3 linked regions of the Arabidopsis thaliana genome follow. The protein of the gene in region 1 interacts with the protein of each later gene in a biochemical or structural test. Each region holds a gene or a part of one and is shown on either strand. Other genes may lie near its edges. The genes, in order: CYCD3;1, CDKB2;1 and ICK1.

Region 1 (10,340 bases):
TAATGTTAAACCATATCGATGAATCGCTAGATTAGAAGTGTTTCCACAGTTTACTCTACTTGTGATTTATCTTAACTTACTTAATTTCTCAGAGAATACTGATAAGCATATGCAGCAGTTCTGTAACAAATTTTGATGTATTGTAATCTTCTCCCCGGTATAACATTTTGACCATACACACATTCTCGTCACTTCAAATTACAATAAAAGAAAAAAAGAAGAGTGGAAGTAAAAAGGGAAGAGACTAGGTCAAAAGAAGAAATATTTAAGATATAAAGGTCACAAAGCCATTGAGAATGATAATAATATTCTATAATTATTGTTGTGGGGACACATTGACCTCTTTGCCCTTTCTCCATGTTGGGTGCAAGCTGTTTTCCTTTCCCATTTTTTCTAAACTTTTTTCATTTGTTTTTACCAATACAAATATATTTTGATTTCTTTTTTTAATAACTGAGTTTTCTTCAATAAAAAAGCATCGATTTTAACACCTATTAATTAAAAATTAAAAATAAAACTACCAAAATTCAAAGCTGACTAAGAATAGTTTCACATTTATTTGATGGGATGGAATGGGAAGGGAATGAATTATTCGGTCCAGAAGAGTATATATTATACCCAAAAGTAAAGACTGTAAATAGATGTGAAGAATTTTTTTTTTCGACCAATTTTTTTTTGGTTAAAAGAACTTATTTTCTTCGTAGCAAGTAATCTCTTTTTCATCTTATCTTTGTTTCAGGAAATAAATAATTTATGGCAAGTCATTATATGGTTCACGAGATGCGTATGGTACCATGATATTGATAACATACCTTAAAGAGGAGAAGACCATTAGAAGAGACAAAAAAAAAAAAAAAAAAAAAAGGACAGAAAACACATTCTCCACAACATATTTATTATTTGAAATTTGTAAAAGAAAACGAATAACTACAAAGATTTTTTGGTCTCCCATTTTGAAAACCTCCCGATTTCCACATACATCCTTTTTCACCTTTCATCAATTATGTAGCTACATGCCCTACTCCAGATTTTCAAATGTTATCATAAAATTATAGTAATGCATGTGGCCGATTATAATTTTTGTATAGTTTGGTATGCAAGTTTTGATATATCATCTTAATTGTTTAATTTTAAACCAGTGTTTTTGCACTAGAGATTCTTTTATTAGATTAACTACTCAAATTTCAGTATTTTTATTTGTTCAGTTTTGATATATCACATTGTTCCCGTTCTTCTGCAAATTATAAAATATTATTTTTAAAAATACAAAATAAGAATAATAAGAAGAATATATTATTTCTTCCTATATATATTAGCATATAGTTGCTCAAGAACAACGGCAAAAATAAAACATATCATATATATAATATATGAACACTTTCAATCGTATATACACAAATATACCTATTTTCTACAGCCAGTAAACTTGTGATTAAAAGTCGATATACATATTGTAGAAATAAAGAGTCATGTTTTTGCTAACATGTTAATATTTGTGCTTAATTTGATATTCTAATACATATGCATGGATGTTAACTTTTTAGTTGAAGTTAGAGAACGGATCTTTTGTTTTAAACAATACATAAACGCATTACGCATACGTATTAATGTAAGATTACATGAACGAGGGGAGTTTAAATGCTTTGATGACGTGAGGCTGAGCGTTAAGAAACGACATCAGCTAAAGCAATTCGTTTTTTTTCTAAGTAGCGAAATGAAATTGAGAATATAAAGGAAAAAGAACGATGAATCTGAATCCCCCAAAGTAGAAAATTCGTGTCACACGTGAAAAAAGTTATAGATTTAAATTCTCTTTTTTTATTGCCAAGAAAATAAATAAATAAAAAGTCCAAAGAGAAAATAAAATTGGAAAAGAAAAAGTGTAAAAGAAGGAGCCAAGATTTTCACACAACCTAAAGTTTTGTTTAAAAAAAAAAAATCAATTTCTCGTGATTCAATCGCATTATCATATAAGCTTTTCCGTGATACAAAAGGGATTTTATAATAGTAAATTGTTAAATTTAATATCTTCAATTTTCGTAATTAATTGACGATTATTTGATGTTATTAAAAGAAAAAAAGAATAGTAACGCTGGATACTTTTTGCCACGTGTCTTAATCCCAGGTGCTCAGAGTGGAAGCAGGTTACTTTGGTTCTGGTGTTGTTACTAATGCTGCACCACATTTTTATCGTCGTCGAACAACACTCACCTATATATGGCGCGTTTACTTCACTTCCTCCTTCTTGTCCTGTGTCTGTCTGTCGCAGTTAATTTATCTACTGGTCAACGAAAGATCTACACTCTGTAGATTTGATTTAAGTTTCGCTGTTTGATTTTTAAAAACATTTATAATTATATGTTGTTATTTTCGACAACTTACATGTTCATGTGTAGTTAGTTATTTGATACGCAATAATATAGTGTAGAGCAGGTTTTGACAAGACTTTAGACAAAAAATCTAAAGCAATAATATAGTGTTACGTTTTCATTTTTGTCTTTCCGTTTTAAAATTTTAATTATTGATTCATCTTTGAAAGCGATTATATTTAAAGACTGACAAAAAAAGCAGCAACAATTGGCTCTTCTCCCAAAAGTCAAAGCTAAAAACGCTAAATCTTTCACTTTCGATCATAAACACAACAGTCTCATTCAAATATTAAAACATTGTGACATCTCATTTCTTAAATTTTGTATTATCCACCATTCTGGACGAAAAAAATGTAGTTATCAAATAGCACGGATTTAAATGCGTTTTTTTCTTTCCTAAACTACAGGAGTAAAAGAATATGTATGTAATTATTATTTCCTTCAGCAAAGCAGATTTTAGAACATACTACTACTCATAATATAAAACATTAATAAAATATGAATAACGCCGGAGATTACGGCCCAAAGATTGGGCAAGCCTCAAAATTTACGCAATATTATTATTATTATTTCTAATTCTCTCCTTCGTCACATCCCATGCAGTCAAATGTCATGAATACCCTTTACCCATTAACTCTATCAAGCCATGGCACGTAAGGGCATTCGCGACATTTCGTATATGCAAACGGGTAAAGCTTAATACAACAAAGATTGTTCTCAAAGTTTAAAAAAACAGTAAATATCATATAAACGAAATCGAGCTTTCGATTATGGAGTGGCTACGATTGCCCATGGCAGATGCAAAATCGGCTTCTTCTTCTCATTCTCTTCAGCTCCTCTCATCTTCTTCAATGGAGGTTGTTGCTGCGGGGACGACGACGACGTTGGTGGGTTGCACGAACTCGCTGACCACGAATCGTTTGAGCTTTCGTCGCTATTGAAAGGGTTTGCATCAATCACGCAGCTTGGACTGTTCAACGATGATGATGAATCGTGACTCTTGCGTTTCTTGGAAGATTGGATTTGGATCTGTAAACCGATGCGGTCCACTGGTAGTTGGAGGATTAGATCGTAGCAAGTTTTCACCTTTTCCTGTTAATGCACGAGAGTTGTTTGAGAAAATGACTGAGTGAAAACAAGTAGAGAGATGATTAGAGAAGCTAACCTTGGTTAAGTTAAGGACACCGAGGAGATTAGTTTGGTATGAAAGAGGGTCAAAGGGATCAACTTGCTCTATAATTCGCATCATGGTAGCTGCGGCAACTACTGATGGGAGGTACCCGACAAATCTTGAATCTGACAAAGACAATTGAGGAAGATAAGACAAGAATGTAAGATGATTACTCAGATTCAGCAGATGGTAAAACGAAATGGAGTGGCTTTTTTCTTTTTGTCGTTTACGAACCGGAGATTACAGAGAGGAGGAGACGGTGGCATTTGTTGAGGAAATCCCAGTGAGCATTGTTCTTAAGTCCCAATCTCCTGATAATGTGGTCTACGAACGAAATTGGAGTAATGAGATGCATCTTCCACTCGAGAGTAGACAGAATCAGTAGCTCCATTCTCTGTATGGTTTTTGCTTCAAACACATACTTTGTCTCCTCCACCTGCAAACCCCCAAAAAAACAGAGAGATGAGAACAGAGGGATAAAAGACTTAAACTTTAAGGAAATTTATTGCAAGTATCATCATTTACTTGAAAGTCTAGAAGAAGAGGGACTTGGGTTTCTTCGACTTTAGCAGCTAATGAGAGACACGCGACAGAAACGAGCTGAAGCATCCATGGTTTGTCTCTCTGTAAGCTGTAGCTACAGATGAACTTATCGAGATAAGTTATGGCTAAAACAGCTGCTAAAGTAGAGAAGCCATAATGAGCGTTGACTCTCAGAATCCAACCAACAGCTTCTTTTCGATCCGTGGAAAGATAAACATCATCGAGACAGCTGAGTCCTTGTTCTTCTTCTTTGGAGAAGAGTGTAACCAGATCTTCATCTTCCCAGAACAAATCTTGTTGCAAAACAACGAATGGAGAAGAAGAAGAAGACAAGGAAGAGTTTTCTTCAACTTCTTCTCCTTCATCGTCCCATTTCTCTTCTTCGCAGTAGAGAGCATCAAGAAGAAACGAATTGCTCTGTTCTTCTCTACTTTCTTCCTCCTTCCGAATCGCCATTGTGGGGGACTAAACTCAAGAATGAGAAGAAAGATAAGATCTTTCTCTTCTCTTCTATATTGTTGTTGATTTAGTTATTGGGTTTTGGCTCAGAGCATTACACGGAAGAAGATAAGATGATAGAGAGAAAATCTCTCGGAGAGAGACTCATCTTTCCTCTCTATGGAAACGTGCAGTGGTTAGCTTAGCAGGGGAGAGCTACAAAAGAGAGACTAGAGAGAGAAAGAGAGAGGAAAAAGCTGGAAGTGGGTTTCGGAGAGTGATAAGAAGAGAGATTGATTTATGAGAGAAGGCCGAGAGATGGTTTTTACGTTTGTCTTTTACTAATATATTATTTGTTTTTCTTGTTGTGATTATTTAATGTGGAATTTCTTTTTCTTTATTTTTTATTAAATGTGTGATTTCTTTTGCTGTTTCCCGCTTTACCCACTTTTTACTCATTTGGAGTAGAGATCGAGAAACCAAAGTGCAGTAAAATCTGTCGGCTAAATTCTACTACTTTTGGGCTATTTGTCAACAATAATGTTTTTGTTAGAACCTAAAGATATTGCTATACATTGACCAAATAACCTTTTTCTAATTGCATCTGATCACAAGTGCGATGATTATACGCCGATAAGTTCCGTTTCTTAAAGTTAAAGACAGAACCAAAACCTTTTTTTGTTTTTAACATAATTTTAACTCAAGAGGATGATGAACACACAAAACCAAGGATTTAGAGTAATAATTCAATATAATCTGCGATCTGGTTAAACATGAAAAGATCCAAACTTCTCAATAAGTTTCACTGACCAACTCAAAAATTAACCATCACGCTAGCAATAGCACAAGGAAGATGATATAAAAAAAACAAAACAAAGAAATTCGTCTGCCAAATTCTAGAAAACACCATAACTATAATCTATACATCATGACCACTTCCCGTCAAATTCTAAACGCCAAACGCTCTAGTATGGAGGAGGTGGGTATTGTCCTGGATATGGACCTGGAAACAAGAAGAAAAAAGATCAACCACCACTGACTATAGTTAGAGACAAGCAAATGCGATCAATTGCAGCATAGAACAGGAAAGAAAGGAAGGTACCTTGTGGGTAATATGATGGTTGCGGAGGGTATGGTTGAGGAGGGTAAGCTGAGGATGGCGGAGGAGGTGGGTAAGCTGAAGGGATCGGAGGGTAGCCCGAGGTTGAGGGAGGTGGATAGGCAGATGGCTGAGGAGGATACCCTGAAGCTGGAGGGTATCCTGATGGCTGAGGGTATTGTTGTACTTGTGGGTATAGAGATGGTCCAGAGTATGGTGGTGCTGTTGAATACGGAGATGCAGAAGGCGGTGCTGAGTATTGAGGTACGTGAGGTGCATACGGTGCTGATGGCGCAGACCCGTAATTATGTTTCTGCATACAAGAGTGGATTGTGTGTTTAGCCTTTTGTTTATAATGGAACATGTTAACCAATGTTGCTAATTGAGGCTCGACTTACCTTTGCTCCCGCATAATGCAGTAGGAGTTGTACTTCTCCAGCGAATCTACAAGACAGAAAGGTTGATGTTTTTCACAAGGCTTTTAATCAAAAAAGTAATCTTTTACAAGGAGCAATCGCTGAGGACAAGCTACCAAAATCTTGGCACATTGTAACCGATTTTCCAGGAATTTAAGAAAACAAAACACATAGCCATGGATTAAAAAACACATAACTTTCTCTTTTTCAAAAACAAAAATGGAATACCTCAAGAGACCAGTTTTAAGAAATTCTAATTTGATGCTACAATGTTTAAACGCAACTTCACATCTCTTTACTGAGGTAACCTAACAACAGACAATAGAAGCTCCATTTATGTCAAAATGTCTAGTTATCTTTCATAAGTTCCAGAGAAACCTAATCAAAATGCTACATCAATTGTGAGTGTGCTCAATGTAGAAACAGAACATTCGAACAAGTAGTTCACACAGATTAACAATTTAGGACACAAAAACACACATAACGACTCTGATCAGTGAGCAAAACCATGTCAGCACTGTAAGTAAATGACAAGAACAAAGCAAAGCAAAGCAAAGCAACTGGCGAAACTATATATTCAAGCACTATATAGTAGAAACCACATCAAAAAGTTGCACCAAAATCAGCTAGACAAATGTGAACCATGCAATAATCGAGATTACCAAACATGATACTTAATGGAAAAGGAACAAAAACTAGTAAAGCCAATGTAATTACCTCCCAGTTTTACTCTGCAAAGTCCAGGTACAGTCGTCGTATTCCTGAGAAAGAACTTTCTGCAATTGAATCCTAATAACAACCAAACAACAAAAGACTCAATTCCAAATCCAAAGCGGGTATTAAAAAGCATAACAAGGCAATGATAAGAAGTGACACATACGTTGCATTGCCAATGAAGTCATCAGTGGAGAGAGTGTTGCTATTCCAGACAGCAACCTTAAGATCCCTAAGCCCTTCAATCAAAGTGAAGATAAACTTCTCTTGGAAAACAGCGTTCTTTCCACCATCTGAAAAAACAAACCCATCAATCAAATTCATTGAAAGATCTTAACTTTGTTCAATTTTTTCTGGATCTGAACAAATTATGAATAAAAGAGGTGGTATTAAAAATAACCTGTGCAGGTTCTGGTACGGTGACTTCTGCCACCATACTCAAGGACGACGTATGGATCTTGTCTTGAAAACCATTCCGTGTCTTTCAATTTCTGGCACCCAACAACTGACAAATCAAAAGAATCCCAGAAATTTTAAAAGTTAACATTTCAACGGATCATAGATAAGGTTGAAGAACATAATAGAATTGGGGATGTGAGAAAGGTACGAACCAGTGACCTCGAGAATCTGGCCTTGTATACCCGCCATCATCGACATGAATTTGGAAGAAAACAATCGAGATTGAGAAAAAGAAGGTAATGATGAAGATGATGAATTCAGAGAGATAATTCCGTGACGTGAGACTTTAAATAAAAATAAAATGGCGACTTTGATTGATGATGAAATAACGCAGAACTTGCTTTCAAGAACCAGACGCGTCTCGTAAGGCGTTGACCGTAATTTTGACTTTTCATTAGATTTAGGTACGCGTTTTTTAAATATTATTATTTCCTTAACTATTAAAGTCTAGATGTTGATAATCTTTGATTCATAAAATCAAAATTTTTACAAACAATTACAAGCACAACCACACAATAGTGATAATTCTATGGCATGTCACCATTAAAGATAGATTCACGACAATCAATAAGTAAATAAATATAGATATAGCTTCGCTTTGTTATTTGCTAGACACCACTTATTATCTTGTGGATGATATTATAAGGTGTGGCTGAAGAACGGAGACCAAAATAAAGGGAGTGTCTTTCTTATGTATTTACTAGGATGCGTCCAATGGCATGATGGTTATAGATTACAGTGTAGCTGTTGCAATCATCTTGGTTCCTTTGAAAGTTCTAATATCATCAGATGACAGACAAAAAAAAAAAAAGTTTCCCCTTGGAACAAGTCATCCAAATATAAAGGCAGTAACCTGGAAATAGCTTTCTTTGTTCGTATAATTTTTGTTCAACGTCGCGCCATTTCAAAAAATTGTCGACCAAGAGAAAATGGACCATAAATCCGATATGTTGTTTTCTTGATACAGTTCTATTGCTTGGTCCAATAAAAATCGAAACCAACTTGTCTATTGCTTGGTACTTCGATTTCTCATTCTATTTCTCAAAATCAGCAAGTAAATGATTCTCAACTCTTACAAGTCTAGATGAAATTTAGCTACCTATTGCAACCTCTCTTGTTATAAGCCAATCCAAGTTTATATAGTAACTCAATTTCTCAAGTAATATATGAACACTAAGAGTCCCTTAAACTGAATATCTTGTACCTCATATTATTTCCTTCTCCTTTGAGGAAATCCTAGCCCTACATTCCCAGTGTTGCCCACTGCTTGTATCGGTTCAACCAAACCTTTTGTATTCTTCCCTAGCGTCTCACCCTGCATTAGCATTTCCCCAGTAATCATAAATTACGGTGACACCAAATAACATCACAACTCACAAGTGATAAGATCCACAAGTTACCTCCTTCCAACCCATGTTTCCCATTATCCTCCTTGCATAACTTCCAGATCCAAATGATAGCTCCAATGCTTCTGCTACAGTATCCTCTTCAGAACCAGTGTCGGGAACTGAATGCTCGTCCGTGTTATGGTCCACTGTTGTTCCTTTTTGACCTGGTCCAACACCATATCCACCATGCAAATTTCTTCTCTCAGCGGCTCTATCTCTGTATGAACAGCTTCTCTGCTGATAAACAACAAGGAGCAACAATGAAAATACTAGCTTACTAGGGTTCTAATAACACTAAACTATGCCTTCGAAATACTCTTAACAGATTTAAGTTTCTCACTGAATTTCCCCATACACAGAGCTTTAGAAAAATGTCTCCTGCTAGATATTGTGCAGAAGTTCAAGCAGCAGGATGTTTACATCCTTCACAAACATTCTGAAACATAAAATACAAGAATCCAGCCATGAAGGTGAGGTCCGAGTACCTCTTCAATCATGTTGACTTCATCTCGTGGCTTCACTGTGAGTTTGCAGTCAGTTTTTGGTTTCACCTTCTTAGCTTCGCGTTTTGTCTCTTGCTAGATATTTGGCAAAAATTCAAGAAGCAGGGTGTTAATATCCTTCACAAACAGTTTGAAACAAAAAATAGAAGAATTCAGCCATGAAGATGGATTTGCAGTACCTCTTCAAACATGTCGACTTCACAAGGCTTCACCGTAAGTTTGCAGTCAGCTTTTGGTTTTACCTTCTTAGCTTTGCGTTTTGTCTTCTGCTAGATATTTGACAGAATCTCAAGAGGTGTTTACATCCTTCACAAACATTTTCAAACATAAAATACAAGAATTCAGCCATGAAGGTGGATTTGGAGTACCTCTTCAATCATGTCTACTTCACTAGGCTTCACTGTAAGTTTGCTGGCCCTTTTTGGTTTCCCCTTCTTGGCTTTGCGTTTTGTATCAGGATTTTGCCATTCAGTTGAAATATCAGGGAATTCCCAATCTTTTGTTGGGTTGGAGGCGTCATATACTGACAAGGATGCAAGGTATTTGGCACTAGGATTTCGAAGTTTATAGACCTGACCTGGAATAAATCATTTGAAAATCAAATTCGTTTTCTACGTTTCCCCATATAACAGAGCACACCAGGTTAACAAAAATCGATTGCAGCAACACAATATTTATTCACATTTCACAGGAACAAGGCTCGGTTAGAAGGAAAATGGTAAACCTGTCCTAACTCGCACTAGGTGAAGCCGAGCTTCACAAATTGGGGCAGTTTTTAAAAGTGTGCCACCAGAAACCACAGATGGATGAAGGTTCGCCGACTGTCTGACCAGCCTCCCTACTAACCTAGCCACCTGTTCATTGTCAGCTTCTCTGGTTTCACATACAAGTTTCCAATCCCACAAATCAACAGACGGGATCTCAGGCAGGGTCTTCCCAGGGGATTCGATGACTTGACCATATTGTGCTAGCCATCTTTCTTCCTCGCTTGAAGGAGCAGCTAGAAATGAAACAGTGAGCATGAAAGCTATGAATATGAGCCGAAGAAAACACATCATCGAAGTAATAAGATCCCCCTAAACAGCACTACGGGGGTTAGTTAATTATTTCAAATTTTAAGATCAGCTTACGAGAGAAAAATACTATCCACCATGAGGAATAAGGATTTATTTAGCTTCATATATCAAAAACCATGACCAAGAAAGCTGATATGGAGCGGAAATAAAGCAAATGAAAAGAA
Region 2 (10,415 bases), on another chromosome or scaffold:
TGACGGGCCAAAGGAAAAAACTTTCTCTGAATCTTCTCTGAGTCTCTCTGACACTCTCACCAACCTAATTTCTCACAAAAACCTAAAAAGTTATCGCCCATGGATTCAGATTTCGGAATCCCCAGAGAACTCTCTCCTCTTCAACAACTCCGATCTCAGTACCACCCTGAGCTTCCTCCTTGTCTCCAGGTACTTCTCCTTCTTCCTTTTATTTGTATATTCGTATCTTCCTTAGATCTCTTGCTTCCTTCTCTCGTTCACTGTCTCCAATGTTTGGATCTCTATGTTTTTCATTGATATCATCTCTTCTGCTGTTTCGTTTTCTCACAATTTCGTCACGTCGCGAATATTTTGAATCCCTTCGAGCTGTTTATTTTGATTGTCTACTCGAGGAACTTGCAATGTTGTTTCCGTTCATGCAGATCTGTTTACACTGTTATTATAATCGGGATCTAGGGTTTATGATCCTTTTATACTTACTCGTCTGATTTAACATTTCAGTTTAGTGTGGTAGGTAGAATTGCCTTTCAACGTGAACTACCATGATGGAGTGATTTTCTGGAACAGTGATTGAATCGTAGTTTTTTTTTTGGTTGGATGATTCGTAGTTTAATTCGTTATTGATTCAATGTACATTACAGGGGACTACTGTCCGTGTTGAACTTGGTGATGGAACCACTGTGGCAAAGGCTGGTGATGCTCATATCATTGCCCGTGCCTTCCCACATACTCTAGGCCAGCCTTTGGCTCATTTCCTCAGGGCAACTGCTAAAGTTGCTGATGCTCAGATCATTACTGAACATCCAGTGAAGAGGTGTGCATGCATCTGCATATTTATAGATCTCTGGAATTTCTTGTTCTGTGGTTTTGTTGTTGGTTAGAGCTAGTTGTTTTCTATTGTAGGGTCGGAATTGTGTTCTGTGGAAGGCAGGCTCCTGGTGGGCACAATGTAGTTTGGGGTCTATACGAGGCTCTCAAAGTGCACAACGCGAAGAACACTTTGCTTGGATTTTTGGGTAAGTCCCTGTTTTTTATCTGTTAGTTGGTTTTCTTATTTCTGTAACTTCATTGTTTGCTTACTATAAAGTCACATCTTACTTCCGTATTGATGTGTGCCTGGTCATTAATATGAAACTTTGGCTACCTGTAACAGGTGGTTCTGAAGGTCTCTTTGCCCAGAAGACCCTGGAGATCACTGATGAGGTCCTCCAAACTTACAAAAACCAAGGTTGGTGGTTGGTGGTTTGATTAAGATTATTCAGAACTTTATCTCTGCTGCTTTCTGACATATGGCATTTAAATGTATGTCGTATTAGGTGGCTATGATATGCTTGGAAGAACCAAGGATCAGATTAGAACAACCGAACAGGTCAATGCTGCACTAAAAGCATGCACGGATTTGAAATTGGATAGCCTAGTTATCATTGGAGGTACCTACTTTTCCTCTTTTTCGGGTGTCTGTTTTAGTAGATGTTTTGTTCTTAACTTGTGTAAATATGATTTTTTAAGTTCATCCCAGAATTTTCTAAATCAATGTTTTTATTTGTTAGGTGTAACATCAAACACAGATGCCGCTCATCTTGCTGAATTTTTTGCTGAAGCAAAATGCTCAACAAAGGTCCTAATTTCTTCCCAGTTTTTCTCTTTCTTTGTCTGATCTTGTATCATGAATCACTTTAGTGACATTTGCACTTCACCTGATATCGCTAACAGCAGAAATTACCAATATGTTTCAGGTAGTTGGTGTTCCGGTCACTATTAATGGAGATCTTAAGAATCAGTTTGTGGAAGCAAATGTTGGTTTCGATACTACATGCAAGGTAACTTTGAAATCTAGCGCTTTTTTTTCTTTTACTTTGTAGGTATTGTAGCCAACATTCTTTCATTTCGCTCACCGTTCTTTTCAGGTTAATAACATTTTAACTCGTTATTTAGACTAATATCATTCTACTGTGTACAGGTGAATTCTCAGCTCATTAGCAATATCTGCACCGATGCCCTTTCAGCAGAGAAGGTAAATGTTGATTCCTTCCAAACGTTATCATGTTTTAGAAAGATTGCTAGGACACTCATAACCAACCTATATTTTGTTGGTTAATAATGTGAAATTTATTATGGTTTGATAATTGCGAAGTTGGGTTCCTTATGATTCTGTTATCAAATTTTCTTCTCAATAACATACTTTCCTCCGTATTGCCAGTATTATTACTTTGTCCGTCTCATGGGTCGGAAGCATTCACATGTTGCCCTTGAGTGTACACTTCAGTCTCACCCCAACATGGTATTCTTCCAAATTCTGAATATATTCAATCGATAGTCTTGGCAATGCTGCATCTAGTTTCTCATTTGCATTTGATGCGATTGTCTCAGGTGATACTGGGTGAGGAGGTTACAGCATCTAAGCTCACAATATTTGACATCATAAAACAAATCTGTGATGCTGTTCAAGCAAGAGCCGAACAAGGTCTGATAACTAAAACGAGCTTTTGGTATGTTGGAAGTGATGTCTTTTGCTTGTTCCCTAACTTTATTGATAAACTGTCTATTTGTATCAGACAAAAATCATGGAGTCATCCTAATTCCTGAAGGGCTTGTTGAGAGTATTCCTGAACTCTATGCTCTGTTGAAGGTAACGATTCAATACTGGCAAACATTTCTATTTATCATTTAATGTGCTATTTTTTATTGTTTCTTGAGTTCCAAAACATAGTAAGCATTTACATGTTGTTGTGCGATGCAGGAAATTCATGGATTGCTTAAGGAGGGTGTGCAGGTTGATAATATTTCTACTCAGTTGTCATCTTGGTCATCTGCTTTGTTTGAGTTTTTGCCTCCATTCATTAAGAAACAGGTTCTAATTCTTTGACATGGTACTTTTCTTTGTTTTTTCTCACATGTAAACGAGTATGTGTTCTTATGATAAATTGTCTTCTTTGTTTCTGCAGCTACTTCTCCATCCCGAGTCTGATGATTCTGCTCAGCTATCCCAGGTAAGAAGAAAGAAAATGATGGAGTTACTGTGCTATAAAAAGTTGGAATTCTAATTGCTCATTTACTTTCTTCTTAGATTGAGACGGAGAAACTTCTGGCTTATCTTGTGGAGACTGAAATGAACAAGCGCTTGGTATGTTGCACATCTTTTTCACTTGTCACAATCCATTTTTTTCAAATTTTTTTGAATAACCTTGCCTGAATATTCAAGTTGTCCCTAAAACTAAGTTTTGAAAATGACAGAAAGAAGGAACCTACAAAGGGAAGAAATTCAACGCTATCTGTCACTTTTTTGGTTACCAAGCTCGTGGATCTCTTCCATCAAAATTCGATTGTGACTACGCCTATGTATGTGATCGCCAAACTAAAATGCTATTGCAACTTCAATATTATGGACATTCACACCATTGATTATAACTTTGATGCAGGTTCTTGGACATGTATGTTACCACATCCTCGCAGCTGGTTTGAATGGTTACATGGCGACAGTGACTAACCTGAAGAGTCCTGTAAACAAATGGAAATGCGGGGCTGCGCCTATCTCAGTTGAGTTTTGTCTCTTATTTATAAGGCTAAAGTTGTTTAGTATATGTGTTGATTTCTGACTTCAAGTTTCAGTTTTACTGACCCCAATCTCTTTCTCTGTTTAACCTTAGGCAATGATGACGGTTAAGCGTTGGTCCCAAAATTCTGGTTCTACTACGATTGGTAGACCTGTAATTCATCCAGCTTCAGTTGACTTGAAAGGAAAAGCATACGAGTAAGCTTTTGTTCCTCACTCATTAGACAAAGATTAGAATGAACATGAAATCAAGTGATATAATTTGTCAAATGATTTTGCAGTCTATTGAGACAAAACGCGCAGAAATTCTTGATGGAAGATATGTACCGAAACCCAGGACCAGTCCAGTATGATGGTCCAGGTGCAGATGCAAAGGCGGTAAGTCTGTGTGTAGAAGACCAGGATTACATGGGGAAAATCAAGAAGCTGCAGGAGTATCTTGATCAGGTGAGGACGATTGTGAAACCGGGTTGCTCTCAAGATGTTTTGAAAGCGGCATTGAGTGTTATGGCCTCGGTGACTGATGTTCTCACTACGATCTCATCTTCTTCCACCAGCGGTCAGCAATTTGCTTAAAGATTTTTTTATTGTTTTGGTTTTCCCTTTAACCATAAACTTCATTAGCTCTCTCTCTCTCTCTCTCTTTCCATTTTGAAGTCGTCTTCTGATTTACGCAAACTTTATTGTTCAAAGTTGAGTTTAGGAAAAGGATATTCAAAGTTAAAGGATTTGAGTAATGCTTTTTTAATGAAGAAGTCTGTGTTTGGGTTCACTAATCTTCTTGTTGCCTTCTCGATCATAATTTGTATATGGTGCGACCAAATCAAAGTACCTACGGATATATATGACAAGTGGACACAAATGAATAAATGTAAAAATTAAAATTAAATACTATAGTACGTGGCAAATTAAAAAAAGGCGTTTATGAAAAGACCGCTCCTCCACGCTCCAGTTTGAATTTCGAAAAATCAGTCCGTTGTGAAAGCCCAAGAATAAGGATTCTATAATTTCAGGTCTCATTTAATTATATAACCTATCTACACTTTGATCTCCGACAATTCACTTTCCCAATAAGAACCAACTGAGAGAGAGAGAGCGCCGGAGAAGAAGAATTTTAGAGAGCGATGGACGAGGGAGTTATAGCAGTTTCCGCCATGGATGCTTTCGAGAAGCTTGAGAAAGTTGGTGAAGGGACATACGGGAAAGTTTACAGAGCCAGAGAGAAAGCTACCGGGAAAATCGTCGCTCTAAAGAAGACGCGTCTCCATGAGGACGAAGAAGGCGTTCCTTCCACCACTCTCCGCGAGATCTCCATTTTGCGAATGCTCGCTCGTGATCCTCACGTCGTCAGGTTAGGGTTTTACCTCTGATTCGATAAAATTGCCCCCATATTCTCGATCTTGTAGTCGCGTTAGGGTTTATATAGTCGATTTCTCACTATCTCGCTTGTTTTCCAGATTAGATAGATCTCAATTTCAAATCGTAGTAATCAGTTCGAAGAGTCTACTAATTGTTAGATGATTTGGCTCTGAGAAACTGTTGATAGATGTTTCCCTAGAGTTTGATCTGGATCGCTGTATCAGTTAGTTTTCCAGTGATTGCAAAATCAATTATATACGGAAACTTTATTTGTCATCTTTTTCAGGTTAATGGATGTTAAGCAAGGACTAAGCAAAGAAGGCAAAACTGTACTGTACCTGGTTTTTGAATACATGGACACTGATGTCAAGAAATTCATCAGAAGTTTCCGTAGCACTGGCAAGAACATTCCAACCCAAACTATCAAGGTTTTTAACCACCTTATTACTGTCATCTCTCTTTCTCGCTTCATTTGTGCTCACTTGAACCAAACATAACATTCTGAAAAGTTATTTGCAGAGCTTGATGTATCAACTATGCAAAGGTATGGCATTCTGCCATGGTCACGGGATATTGCACAGGTGAATTGTTCTCTGGCTTTCCCTTGTTTTCAACTTCTAAGTGAGAATGATTTTAGATAATAACTTGGAAGAGAGATTTCTTCTTCTTACTATTTCTCCTTGTTTCAAAACAGAGATCTCAAGCCTCACAATCTCTTGATGGATCCCAAGACAATGAGGCTCAAAATAGCAGATCTTGGTTTAGCCAGAGCCTTCACTCTGCCAATGAAGAAGTATACCCATGAGGTAATCAATGTTTGACACTGCTTCTTGCACTTATCCCACTTTGTATGTATTGTAGAACTTATGGTTTTGAATCGGTTGTTCATTGCAACAGATATTAACTCTTTGGTATAGAGCTCCAGAGGTTCTTCTTGGTGCCACCCATTACTCTACAGCTGTGGATATGTGGTCTGTTGGCTGCATATTTGGTATGTGTTCTTTTCAGACTCGTTGATTTCACTAGTCACTGCGATATCATCTTAAGTTACTAAACAACAACAATTAACATTGTTCCTTCACCATTTACAGCTGAACTTGTGACCAACCAAGCAATCTTTCAGGGAGACTCTGAGCTCCAACAGCTCCTCCATATTTTCAAGTAAGTCTTTGTTGATTCTTCACCTTTTACATGACAAACATAAGAAAACCTTTTTTCATTTTGCCGCTCTTTCCGGTGTACAACTCAGGTTGTTTGGGACACCCAATGAAGAAATGTGGCCAGGAGTGAGCACACTCAAGAACTGGCATGAATACCCACAGTGGAAACCATCGACTCTATCCTCTGCTGTTCCAAACCTCGACGAGGCTGGAGTTGATCTTCTATCTGTAAGTCTAAAGTTTATTAACTAGCTACCAAAACAAACTCAACAGACGAACTAATTGCGTTTTTATCTTCCTGGAACAGAAAATGCTGCAGTACGAGCCAGCGAAACGAATCTCAGCAAAGATGGCTATGGAGCATCCTTACTTTGATGATCTGCCAGAAAAGTCCTCTCTCTAAGGATTTAAAATCTTCAGTTAGTATCTTTCCAAGTTTTATGGTTTTTCTAGTTTTGCTTCTTTCAAGCATATCTCTAGTGTGCTGCTTCCCCCTCTATGAATCATCCTTTCTTTAGCATAATATATCACTTCTGATTGTTGTTTCTTTCTATTCGAATATTTGGATTAACGGCTTTAATGTTCTTAAGACTATTCGCAATTATAATGATCCAGTCATCTGGAAGTCTAAGAATAAGTTCTTGAATAAATGGATACATATAACAAGATCGAGTGTGGGGATTTATGTCACAAGCCACATGAAGAATGTTGGCCAAACAGTGAGTGAAACTGCAGCCAAAGAGTAAGTCCAAAGCATAATCACAGAGCATTCACTCTCCCCAGCGCCGAATAATTGGGTCTTTGTACCTGAAAAGTAAGGGAAACTAGTGATGTATCTTATCTGAAAGAAGTAACTGTATTTTAAGGAGTTGGTTTCAAGCCATGCACCTAGATTCATGGCTGGTGGGACAGCATACTGAAGAAGAAGAACGAATTGGTACAAGGGTTCTGAGGTTACTAAATCCAACTTGTATGCTCCTCTCACGAGTAAAACACCGCTTACAGGTAGCAAAATGTAACGAGCTACCAAGACGCCGATAATGCAGGAGTTTTTCATTTCTGAACTCCTCACTTCCGACCTCCTCATTCCTTTAAGTAAGTTTCCTCCAAGAATCAGGGTCATAGCAGGAATGGCCCCATCTCTTTAGCCAAAAGAAACAAGACACAGAAAAAGTGAGTTTTTCAAAGAGATGAATCATTTGTTGAGCTACTTCTAAGATAATGAGACTATTCTACAATTACCCCAATAGGGTTAATGAGTCTTGAATCACACGGAAAGGAGCTACGGTGCCGATTATTAGGTTCCTTAAAGGAGTAATAAGCCCAATCACAAGCGCGATAATCTGAGAAAACAGAAGAAGAAGAGATAAGAAAGATATACACTAGTGTGAATGTCTTGAATGTATATAAAAAAGGTGCCACTGAAACACAAACTGCAGCAATAGTTGCTGGAGCAAATATTGACCCAAGGTTGACTTTCTTTGACAGAGAAACAACTCTTTGCTTGACTTCTTCCCACCTCCCAACCTGTCAAACACACACAAAGTCACTGCCAAAATGAATAACACTGATGATGATGATGAAGAGTTGTTGATTAATGAGACCTGATGGTTGTCTTCTTCTTTTTCTTCTTCCTTGGAAGAAATTAGTTGGACTTTGCAGCTGTCATCATAGTTGGATTCAATAGAGTGTGTGTGTGTTTCAACGGGAGAGTTTGATAGCACACGCATAAGATTTATATATAAGTCCATGAGTAAACCGTTCCCGCCTGATACATACCAATTAGTGTCATGTTTATACACACTGATAAAAAAAGCCTTGAAGAGAGACAAGAGAGGAAGAACTAACAGTCATGGACAGTGTAACATAACCCATTCCGTATTTCTCGCAACTCTCAGAATCTCCAAAGGGACCTCCTTTCTCCTTGCAAATGGCTGGGATTATAATGAGAGGCATAGTCCCCAAATTCCCTGTTTTTGGTTTCATTCATCATCACATTCATAAGCAAAACATACGATACAAAGAAAGACAAAAAGATTCTAAAATCATGTCAAGGTTTGTACCAGAAGCACAACAACTAATGATGAGACCACGAAGCTGTGAAGGAGGCTTAGTTATGACAATAACAATCCAGCCGAGTAACGAACCAATCATGAATGTGAGCAGAACATTAACCGGCATAAACCACCTGCAATGCAAATCCTCATTTTCATTATAACAAGTGAGCTTAAAGATGATGCAAAATTTGATATTGACTTACATTTTGACCAAGCTTTCATATGTAACACTATCAGCTAAGCGGCTTCCAATAAGCGAAGGACTAAACACATAGAAGACAATCTATACACAAACAAAAGAGAAATTTAAGTTAACTCTTTTAGATTATTTGTTAAAGAAGAGAGTTAAAAAACGGACGTTGTTCAAATGTTTGCGAGCATCATGACCAAGAAGATTGACTGTGTCGAGAGCCAAATAAAATCCAACTGATGTTATCAACAAAGTCTCCACAACTGGTTTCGATGAAGCTATGAACAACTCCAAAAGCTTCATCTCTACTTCCAAAAGTTAGAATCTGCAAACTTAATCCATATATTACATGATTTGAGATAAAGAAACAATGAACCAAACGACGATAACTTATGGAGAAATCAAATGAAATGGTATAGTTACCTTTTTAGAGGAAGAGTGAAGGAGAGATATAGAGTAAGTATTATTTTTGTTCCGTATGAAAAAACCAACGTATCATAACCACCAACTCTTTATCTGAGAAAAAAAGAATACAAATTATAAGGGAACCATCGTCATGCCTTTAGTCACAGCGACTAGGAAACGTGCCATGTTACTTTGTGGTTCTTGCTGAAGATGTGGATATGTCGCATTGTGTTTACCGTATGGTAAAGAACAATAACGTTGATTTTAAAAAAACTTCTGTTGTTGTCATCTATTTTCTGAAGAATCGTTTCATAAACTAAAATGTTTCAGTACTATAATTTTTGTTTTTCCACAGTTTCACTAGCTACAAATTTATATATTACATATAGTATATCTTGGAGTCTAGCATGCACTTTAGCCCTGATGTGGAAGGTTATACATCAAAATCTCAAATATGACGTGATGAGACATTAATTGATCTTAGAGTACGATTAGGTTTGAGATACATGGACACAGATGTAAAGAAATTTATCACAAAATCCACCAATTAGAGCTTTTTGTCACCACTCTTTTCTCTCATCATTTGTACTCACTTGACTGATATGTAATAGTCTATTAAACCAAATGTAACAATCTGAAATTTTTCTCAGGTGTACCAAACTAAACAAAGGAATAGCTTTCTGCCATGGCCACAGTCACAAGTAGTCAAGTAGATTGTTCTCTGGTTTTACCCTGTTTCAAGAGAGAATGATTTGGGTATCATAACAGAGATTTTAAGCCTCACAATCTCTTGATGGATCCCAAGACAATGAGGATCAAAATAGCAGATTCTTGATGAGGCTGGACTTGATCTTCTATCTGTAAGTTACAGACTGTAAGTCCAAAGTTCGTATCAAAAGACTTATAAGTATATGTTCTCTATTATACTTGATCCAATCATCTGGAAGTCCAAGAACAATTCTTGAATCAATGGAACAAAACAATACATGTAACATGATGAGTATGGGGGTCTATTCTAAGCTACAAGCCACATGAAGAATGTTGGCCAAACAGTGAGTGCAATCGAAGCCAAAGAGTAAGTCCAGAGCATAATCACTGAGCATTCACTCTCCCCAGTTCCAAATAACTGAGTAATTGTACCTGCAAGAGTAAGTGAAACTAATGAAGTGATCTTATCTGAAAGAAGTAACTGTATTTTTTAAAGAGTTGGTTTCAGAGCAATGAACCTAGATTCATGGCTGGTGGGACAGCATATTGAAGAAGAAGAACGAATTGGTATAAGGGCTCTGATGTAACTAAATCCAACTTATATGCTCCTCTTACGATTAAAACACCGCTCATAGGCAGTAAAACGTAACGCGCAACCAAGACGCCGATAATACTGGACATTTTCATTCCTGAACTCCTCAAACCTTTGAGTAGGTTTCCTCCTATAATCATGGTCATTGCAGGAACTGCCCCATCTCTTCAGCCAAAAGAAACAAGACACATAAGAAGCTTTCGAATGAGTGAGTTACGTTTTTCCAAGAGATGATTCATTGTTGAGCTAATGCTAAGATAATGGTCTAATTTTAGCTGCAGTTACCCCACTAGAGTTACTGAGTCTTGAAGCACCCGGAGAGGAGCTTCCGTGCCGATTATTAGCTTCCTTAAAGGAGTAATGAGCCCGATCACAAGTGCAATCATCTGGA
Region 3 (9,375 bases), on another chromosome or scaffold:
GGAAGTAGGTGAAAGGGAATGTGGAAATGATGTGTTTTGTGTTGTTGGGTATTTTGCCAATGACAGTAATGTAGCAGCTGGAAAACTTTTTGGGATTCCTCTTCGTGGAACACACTCTCATGCTTATGTTAGCTCATTCATGGTCAGTTCACTTCAGCCAAAAGTTTCAATTTTTATGTGGAGGTTACATACTTGAGTTAGCTAGTAGAGACGATAACACAAAGTTTCGTGAAAATAAGATATTCTTGTCAATGCCTTTGTTGCTATAACTTTATTAGCCATGGTTCTGATGCACACTTAATATCCTCGCTCATAACAATATCACAAAAGCATTTTCGATATAATTAGTTAACTTTGGATTGCAGAGTACTGATGAGATTGTTGACAAAGTACTTCGTAGTGCTGATGGGAAAACCACGTGCGAGGATTTTGTTAGTCATGTTCAGACATGGTTAAAAAAGATTCAGGTTTGTTTATTGCACATTTTGCTCTTCCTCTTCCTGTTTTCTAGTCTCAGGACCATTGTTCTATTTCTGCTTCAACCCTTTGCTTGAATCTTTGTCACAGTTTTTCTTATGTTTTGTTTCTTTGTGGATGACAGTATTCACCATCTCTAAGTGGCATTTTCTCTGAGACAAATCAAAGCGAGCTAGCAGCTTTCACCTCATATGCACTGGCATTCCCCAAAACTTTTCTTGCCCTCGTAGATACATACGATGTGAGCATTAAACACCATAGTAGATAGCTCATTTGAGCCTTAGGATTTCTAATAAACTCTTATATTAGTGTTTTGCTGACTGTTTTACAGGTGATGAAGAGTGGAATCCCTAACTTCTGTGCAGTTGCTTTAGCACTCAATGACTTTGGGTGTGTAAGAATCTCTTATCAATACCCGATCGTCTGACTTGACTTTGTACTTCTTCAGGATCATATGGAATTTGAGATGCAATTGATGTTTATTGTGCTGCGCAGATATAAAGCATTAGGTATTAGACTGGATTCAGGTGATTTAGCTTATCTATCTAGAGAGGCCAGAAATTTCTTCTGCACGGTAGAGAGAGAACTAAAAGTGCCTGGTTTTGGGAAGATGGTCGTCACTGCTAGTAATGATCTAAATGAAGAGACGATTGACGCTTTAAATAAACAGGTGACTCCCTAACCCACTCTCAAATGCCATGCCCCCGAAAGATTGATTATTATTAAGCAGTGTTTTTTCTTTCATCTCTATAGGGACATGAGGTGGATGCTTTTGGCATCGGGACCTACTTGGTCACTTGCTATTCACAAGCGGCCTTAGGTTGCGTTTTCAAACTTGTGGAGATAAACAATCAGCCTCGGATTAAACTTTCTGAAGATGTTACAAAGGTTAAAACTCTCTCTCTCTCTCTTGGTGTTCTGAACATTCAATGTCACATTGCACTTAATCTGATTATCATTCTGATTCGTTTAGGTATCAATACCGTGTAAAAAGCGAAGTTACAGATTATACGGCAAAGAAGGTTACCCTCTGGTAGATATAATGACTGGAGAGAACGAACCACCTCCAAAGGTAAAACGAAAGATAACTCTCTCAAAGATTTTAATCTCATTACCTTATTGCATTTTTACATAATATCTTTCTTGATATCAAAGGTTGGTGAGCGTTTACTTTGTCGTCACCCATTCAACGAATCCAAAAGAGCATATGTAGTGCCACAACGTGTCGAAGAGCTCCTCAAATGTTATTGGCGTGGAAGTGCAGGTAAAGATTTTCCGGTACCGTAGAGTTATTAATGACAATGCTTTTCACTGATTATTGTTTCTCTATACCAATGAAGATGAAGCAAGAGAAGTATTACCGCCTTTGAAAGAGATAAGAGACCGTTGCATCAAACAGCTCGAAAACATGCGACCTGATCATATGAGGAGATTAAACCCAACTCCTTATAAGGTATGGTTTTATCCGACAAACATGTTTTTCAGTTTCTGAGAAATCTGTGTAAATGTTTTTTTCTCTCATGGTTTACAGGTTAGTGTAAGCGCAAAGCTGTACGATTTCATCCACTTCTTATGGCTAAACGAAGCACCTGTTGGTGAATTGCAGTGACAGAACAACCAAAAAGAAGAATCTGGTTTTGGTTTGGTGTAATGTATATAATTTATATACCACAGCATCACAAATATGCATTTTTTTCACTTTTAGTTTCTTTTTCTTACAACATTTTGATGATCTCTCATTGTCGTAGTAAGTTTCATTTTCTTACTGAGGAAAGAAACTCTCTGCGTTCACTGGAACTTTGTTTTCAACTGATTCAATAAGATTTTATATTTACAGCTGTAAACATACTGGAGACTGTAAAAACATTTACTCAAGTCAACGATTTTGGATCAGGTTTAGTTTCGTCATATGGTTGACAACTTACTGTTGCAAACGGATTGGTAAGCAGTTGAGTTAATTGAGTTTTTTCTAGCAGAGATTTGAAGAACATTACCTTTCTTCAAAAACTTCTTTAGGCGTTACTAGGACGTTTGGGGTGGACCTAGTCACTAACCACATATTCAAAATTCATTTCCAAAAAGATGAATTATGGAATATGAGAATAGAAAAATACAACAGAGTAAATGAGGAGTAAAACTTTATTACAGAAACTTACCAAACAGTAAAAAAAAATATGGAATATAAGGAAACCATTACTTAACGAAAAATCACTTAACAAGAATACAAGATGACTAAAAATGACAAGACGATAATCCATCCAAATTGAGGTTAAAAACAAGTGATAGTTTTGGTCTTATACAACAGAGTTATACAAGTGTAACTTTGAATTCTTATGGTCTCCAAATAGCCATGGCTTCGAGGGCAGGGCACTCGATATGGGCGTGGGTTTTCTTGGATGAAAGTTAAATTTGTTGATATAAAAGAAACACATAGTATACACAAAACTGGTCGGGACCAATACTCTTTTTTTTTTTGGCTCCGTTCATATTTTCAAAACAACAATTCTTTAGTGAAAATTAATAGATTGATTAAAGAAAAAAATGTTGAGAAAACATGAACTTTCATATTGTTGACGAAAAAAACATGAACTTTTCAAATGTCATTTAAATCCTAAAGTTTAGTTTGACTTCTTAAAAAATAGTTAATTTAGTTGACTTGGCCATTCCAAACATATCTTTAAGTTTCCCTTAACAATATCACGAAAATAAAACAGCCCTCGATGAAAGAATTGTTTTTGTTTATTTGAGTCCCTCATTTAACCTGTTTGTGATCTGAATTAAGCTTACATATACAAAATGGTCCATGATCATTTGTTTTGAAGATTTTCTGAAATGGTCCATGAAAGAGTTTTGTTTCCAAGTCTTCGGATAATTTGTCTAGTTACAAAATGGTCCTGCATCATTTGGAATAATGTATTTATGGCATTATCTCAAAATTCTCTAACCATTGGGCCAGTACAGTATGCCCTTTACAGATCTAAAGTTTTATTATATGCTAGTATTATTATAATTAAAATTTTGAAAAGTTTCAAACCAAGTTTCGTGTGATAGAATGTTTGTGATTTGTTATTAATCAATAAACTTTAAGAATAACAGAATCATCTTGAAATTCTGATTGGTCGAGCTCAATCATATTCGGTGCTGAATATGAAACAAAAAAATTAGTTGGTGTGGTTAGCTGACATGGTTGGTACGATTTTGTTCAACAAAAAACTGCACTGAAATTGTCGATTAGTTAATTTAAGTAGTAGAACAATAATAACTAATTTCATAGTACTTTTTAATCCATATCAAACGTTGTAAGAAATAAAATTCTAAAATAATTTTAAGCGTTTAGGGCGGTAAGATAATCTACCAAAATGCATTTGATGTTTTTGGTTGAATATTATTAAAACGGAGAAGACAAAAAAATGAGTGTGGTTGTACCTGTGTGGGGATAGAATTTTATCAGTCACCAAAAACATAAAAATGTACTAAAGAATATGCTAAAAGATACACAAGATTCGAAGAAGAGGTAAAAGTAGAGCTAAAAGACACGACTTTTCTGGGCTCTAAAATCTGTTAAAAAGCTTTCTTCTTTTTCTGTGCAATTTCGTACTTCTAAAAACATTCCTCCTACAAATCTTATATTTCCAAATCAACAAAATAAAATTAACTTATTCCCTGAAATATTAAAATCTAAAAAGTTAAAAAAAAAACCATAAACTTCTTCTTCTTCTTCACTCTAACTTTACCCATTCGTAACGTCCTTCTAATGGCTTCTCCTTCTCGAAATCGAAATTGTACCTAATTAAAAAAAAATAAACTCACTCTTAATTTTACCTCAAAATCAATTTTAAATTATGAATAAAAAATATATTATCTATAAAAATCAAACTCACAAAATAAAATAAAAACTTACTTCTTCTTGAATTTTTCTTTGAGTTGTTTCTCAGCTTCCACAAAAAAATCTTCAATTTCCGATTCCGTTGGCATCTCCGTCATCAATTTCGCCTTCTCCTCCTCCTCCGCCGTCACCGTCTCCTCCATCGTTTTCCTCCCGCTACAACAACAATCTAACGATTCTTTAACCGCCGATTCAAATTCCGATGAATAATTCTCCATGGATTTACTTAATTCTTCTTTCTCCTCCTCTCTCAGATTTTCAAAAAGCTTCCTCTTCGTACCCCTAAAATAACTCACAAGCAAGATTCTAAATTTATTGAAGAGAGAGTCAAATAAATAACCGGGAAAATAATAAAACCTTCAAAATTCAAATCATTTTCAGTTTTTTTTTTAACACTCACCGTCGATACGTCGACGTTTCAGTGTCACCATCTTTATCTTCCTCCTACAAAAATTTCAAAATTTCAAAAAAAAATACATTAACATTAAATGATACATATACAGTTACAAGAATCTAGAATCAACAACATTAAATAACCTCCAGATGTATTAATTCTTTCTTCTTATATTCATTGCTTCCACTACAAGACGACGAAACTCCATTATCACCGACGACGGAGACAGAGCTTGATTTTTCCGATCTAACATAAACAATTCTCCGGCTCCGTAGCTGCATATACGTTGACGAAACTCCAGCTTCTACAATTCCTTTAGCTTTTCTATATTTTCTCACCATCTTCGATTTAGGTTACGTGTGCGTGAAGTCACAATCTCTGTGAGAGAGAGAGATATGATTGAGAGGATGAGGAAGAAGAAGAAAGAAAGATGATGAATTTGGTTTTGAACGGTCAGGATTGAGTTTTGTGCTGTGTGTGATAGAGAAATGGCGTGTTTTAGTGGTCCCGTTACAGTGACGGGGAATCTTTAACGGGGAAACTGGAGGCGCCGTTATTTGGATGTTATGGAGTTACTTATGCCGATGGTTTGTTTTATTGACACGTGTCGGTTATAAACGGTGACTTAACGGAACGGGAGGCGTAATAATTGTGGTGTAACTAACTATTTTAAAAACCCTCTCATCTATTGGTAATTCACAGATTTGCCATTACGCGAAACCGTTTAAAATGTTTTAAATTATAATTGACAAGCTTTTTGTATAGTTGGGATGAATTTTATAGTTTAGGTAAAATTAGAAAGTTCATATTACTTTAAAATGAATTGGATAGAGACTATATATAGATTATGTGTATAGTATAGGTGGATTGTTACGGATAGCCTAAAAACTACGTACCTGTGAGTAAAATAAGGTAAAAGTAAAACTGACACTAGAAATTATATTTTTGTTATCCCTGCGTATTTGCTTAGCCTGATGTCAAGTTGTCAACAGCACGTGTCGATCGTGATATATTGGGCTTAATAAGTCATAATATAGTAAAGGTTTCTAAGAACTAAACTTGGCCTCCATCACTTCCCATGGGCCTTGTCAGCCTTTCTATGTTTTGTTTTTGTCTCAAAGCATGAACAAAATGGAGTGGCGAGTGCATTCAAATTACCATGTCTTGCTTTAAAAATTAAAAATATTTTTTTTTTCACTGAAAGATAAATATATACTTCATAATTTCCAACCAAACATACAAAAAAATGTGGATCAAGGACAATCATTCTAGATCAACCAGTATTACACTAGGCATTTTTTTCTTCCTCAAAAAGTTGTTTTAACCAAAAAGAAAACCTAGTTGCTACATACGATTAACGGCGATCATTTTTTGTTACGCTCTTGGCAATAAAGTGAGCATCAAGATTAGATCTCCTTAACTCACCAAGCAATTTTCAATCCAAAAAATTCCCTAGTTTCTCAATCAAAAGAAGGGACTGAAATTTACATGAAGGTCATGCAGACGACTTTTGTTTTAATTGAATAACATAAAACTTTTACTCACTTTACAAAAAAGTATGAATCTATAACCCTAGATTTATAAAGATATTAGAAAACTTTTTATAAATCTTAAATTAATAACAAAGAACTTTAATAAACTTTTTAAAAATCTTGATTGAATAACAAACGATTTTACATAATCGTTAAAGTTCTTTTAAAATCATAAACCAATAATACCCCCTAAATATTTAATTTATCTCCTCAAGTGTTGCGCCCATGTTATGTAAAATTTCATCCCTATAAATACATCAGATGGTCCAAGAGGTTTCATGCATCAATACATAATACATTTTCGCCTTCGACTAAATATTATAATTTAGCTTCTTTTTTTTTCTAATTCTCGTCTCGGTTTTTCTAGTAATGGCGACGATTAATGTTTACGTTTTTGCATTTATCTTTCTTTTGACTATTAGTGTTGGTTCAATTGAAGGCCGAAAACTCACCAAATTCACCGTAACGACGTCTGAGGAAATCAGAGCTGGTGGCTCTGTATTGTCGTCGTCACCTCCGACTGAGCCACTTGAGTCGCCGCCGAGCCACGGGGTTGATACCTTCAGACCTACGGAACCTGGTCATAGCCCCGGTATTGGACATTCCGTACATAATTAACGGAGAGGAACAATAGCATCGTCTATGTGATTACATGTTGAAAATATGATTGGCCTGGTGACTTTTTTTTTCTGAATATGTATTTACGTACAGTTTCGTCATATTCAGTTTCTTGCAAGTGTGATTGTAATAATATTTATTTGATTAAATTAAGATTGATGTAATCCATCTTATTTTAAAAGCACATACATTTTTTTATCAGGTTCCAATTTTCTCATATATTTTTCTATCGAGATGTGTCACTCGCTTGAACTAAGAAATTTTTCTATCGAGATATGTCATTCGCTTGAACTGAATCATACGTAACTCGATCTAATCACAAACCGATTTAGGAATAGAACTATAGAAGCAATTTCGATTACTTGTTTATGTCTTCAAAATCTGTACGTAGAACGAATAACTATCTTTGAAATAATTTGGTACAGATATTCCATATCTGCGTTTCAAAATTTGAGCCAGACATTATTTTGCATGGAGAAAAACCTAAAAGTTTGTATTACGTAATATTAGTCACTGAAAAACTTTAGTTTGTTTGTTAAAAGTTTTAGACGGATGTTAGTATTTGAGAAATAAGCAATATACCAAGTAAAAGATGGTTAAGAATTTAGAGACAAATAACGAAAACTGAAGCTATATTTCCATTAACGAAAAAGTAATCATGTATATCCATTAACATAATCTGTATTTCTTTTAACTAAATTATATATTTATAGCTACTACTTCAAAAATTAAGAAAATAAAAAATATTTCCAAAATACTGATTTACAATTCTCATACAAAATAATAATTAAGACAGTCAAGAACCTAAGAGTATCATTAAAGGGGGGATATTAGGGAGATATTAGGAGATTCTTAGATTGTAAATGATTAAATTTAAATGTTAATTGAGCAATTTTGCTTAGAGGCCCTCTAAGCTAAGAGATCCTCTGAAGTAAAATGTGGTGGTGACGTGGCATGATTTGGTTGGTTGGAAGAATAATATTAAAGCCGAATTTTTTTTCTTACCGTTAATTCTTCTACTATGTATAATAATTTATAATATGATAGTAGAAAACGAACGAGATACTTACACTTACTTTGATGTCTCTGAATTTGTACAACCGGAATCAACTAGAAATGCACAAGTGGATTTCACCTATTCTACATATATGCCTTCAAATCTCGAGAATATATTGGAAACTCGAACTCGAATTCGTAATCGACAAGCACATCAATAATTGAATTTGATTTGGTTGAATATATATGGAAATTTTTTAGCAGAAATTAATAGTTAAATTTTATGTTTTCATGTATGTTTTAATTTTTTGTATGTCATCTATGTATTGAATATTATGAGTTCAATAATAATTAAGTTTTTATATATTTTAATTTTTAAATATATTTTTTTTAAGAACTTCAACTTAATATACTACTATTGAGCTTGCCAAAAAATTAAAACCTTACCAAAATTCTTAACTACAAAATTTTACAAAGTTTACAAATTTTAAAAAAGGTTAAGGGCTCGAGAATTTTACAAGATCATAAAGCTCTACTAAATTACATGAAACGGTCTAGTCTCCTTTAATCTATTATAGAAATGCACAACTTGAGCTTGAAATGGTAGGTAAGCTATACATGTGGTATTTCTCTATAAATTTGTAAAAGCTAACCGTACAAAAAGAAACCAAATATCATGGGATTTATTAATTGAATGGTCTCTCCTTATATTGGACCAAAAAGCGTTAGTCCAATGATGGTGAGTGATATTCGGAGTGTTCAAAAGATTCTCTGTCTAGCAGCTATAAATGTTTCGTAGGCTTCAACAACCAGTAGGATTATCATTTCGCTCAGAGTTCGTATAATTTAGTAATTAGCAGGAATTCTTTTTGTTGGTTCAATATTTGTCAATAGTAGTAGTATTCTTAACTAAATTATGACACAATAATCTATGTTTTAATAAATAAACTTGCCTTGATCAAGTAAATGACATATTAATCTATGTTTTGTAACCTGGCAAAACAATTTTAAAATGATATATAAACTACATTTGTATGACTAATTTTCAAAGTAAAAATAAAAAATCCCACAAAACAAATTATTGTATTAATAATATAGTCTGTATTATATGCATAAATATATCATTAAAATGGGTCAAATATATTCCACTATACATACTTTAATATTACATTATGTTTTCGCACTTTAATTTCTTTTGATTAATAAATCAACGGTAGAAGATGTACGACAGCCTTGCAAATCAACTTTAATGCACAAATCTATGAGTTTGTTTGGTGGCGCATGAGCTTATCGTAAACTAAACATCTTCTCGCTTAATATTGGTATATGTTCGGCACCTTTAGCAGAGCTATGGGGAGTGTATTACGGTCTCTATATTGCTTGGGGGAAGAGAGTGGAACGGTTGGAGTTAGAGGTGGACTCGGAGTTGGTGGTTGGGTTTCTAAAGACAAGGATAAGTGATTTTCATTCGT

Evidence for each region.
Region 2: the proteins of CYCD3;1 (region 1) and CDKB2;1 form a complex in vitro, tested with the Arabidopsis thaliana proteins (one study listed by BioGRID).
Region 3: the proteins of CYCD3;1 (region 1) and ICK1 form a complex in vitro, tested with the Arabidopsis thaliana proteins (one study listed by BioGRID).

What each region holds. Positions count from the first base shown.
Region 1 is NC_003075.7:16,352,102-16,362,441, reverse strand, and holds CYCD3;1 (CYCLIN D3;1), read right to left. Parts: upstream 5,022-10,340; 5' UTR 4,540-5,021; coding exon 4,066-4,539; intron 3,977-4,065; coding exon 3,775-3,976; intron 3,666-3,774; coding exon 3,535-3,665; intron 3,462-3,534; coding exon 3,138-3,461; 3' UTR 2,877-3,137; downstream 1-2,876. Other genes in the region: AT4G34150 (Calcium-dependent lipid-binding (CaLB domain) family protein), read right to left, coding at 5,487-5,524, 5,624-5,933, 6,019-6,064, 6,754-6,825, 6,917-7,043, 7,151-7,255, 7,362-7,407; AT4G34140 (D111/G-patch domain-containing protein), read right to left, coding at 8,420-8,524, 8,610-8,831, 9,083-9,175, 9,280-9,369, 9,469-9,677, 9,825-10,100. UniProt on the Arabidopsis thaliana protein: Involved in the control of the cell cycle at the G1/S (start) transition. Activates the G1/S phase transition in response to cytokinin hormone signal, but declines in response to sucrose starvation leading to G1 arrest.
Region 2 is NC_003070.9:28,716,614-28,727,028, reverse strand, and holds CDKB2;1 (cyclin-dependent kinase B2;1), read left to right. Parts: upstream 1-4,478; 5' UTR 4,479-4,677; coding exon 4,678-4,904; intron 4,905-5,198; coding exon 5,199-5,340; intron 5,341-5,431; coding exon 5,432-5,493; intron 5,494-5,606; coding exon 5,607-5,718; intron 5,719-5,809; coding exon 5,810-5,903; intron 5,904-6,003; coding exon 6,004-6,073; intron 6,074-6,161; coding exon 6,162-6,300; intron 6,301-6,379; coding exon 6,380-6,475; 3' UTR 6,476-6,701; downstream 6,702-10,415. Other genes in the region: AT1G76550 (Phosphofructokinase family protein), read left to right, coding at 100-189, 642-814, 904-1,016, 1,154-1,228, 1,317-1,430, 1,551-1,618, 1,737-1,820, 1,961-2,014 and 10 more; AT1G76530 (Auxin efflux carrier family protein), read right to left, coding at 6,755-6,879, 6,961-7,214, 7,315-7,415, 7,507-7,599, 7,677-7,889, 7,921-8,042, 8,136-8,260, 8,333-8,412 and 1 more; AT1G76520 (Auxin efflux carrier family protein), read right to left, coding at 9,740-9,864, 9,951-10,189, 10,310-10,410.
Region 3 is NC_003071.7:9,972,824-9,982,198, forward strand, and holds ICK1 (Cyclin-dependent kinase inhibitor family protein), read right to left. Parts: upstream 5,268-9,375; 5' UTR 5,099-5,267; coding exon 4,901-5,098; intron 4,808-4,900; coding exon 4,764-4,807; intron 4,646-4,763; coding exon 4,379-4,645; intron 4,264-4,378; coding exon 4,197-4,263; 3' UTR 3,767-4,196; downstream 1-3,766. Other genes in the region: NAPRT2 (nicotinate phosphoribosyltransferase 2), read left to right, coding at 67-142, 366-467, 602-718, 809-867, 973-1,147, 1,231-1,365, 1,451-1,549, 1,633-1,741 and 2 more; AT2G23440 (uncharacterized protein), read left to right, coding at 6,659-6,907. UniProt on the Arabidopsis thaliana protein: Binds and inhibits CYCD2-1/CDKA-1 kinase complex activity. Regulates cell division which is crucial for plant growth, development and morphogenesis. Functions in turning cells from a mitotic to an endoreplicating cell cycle mode.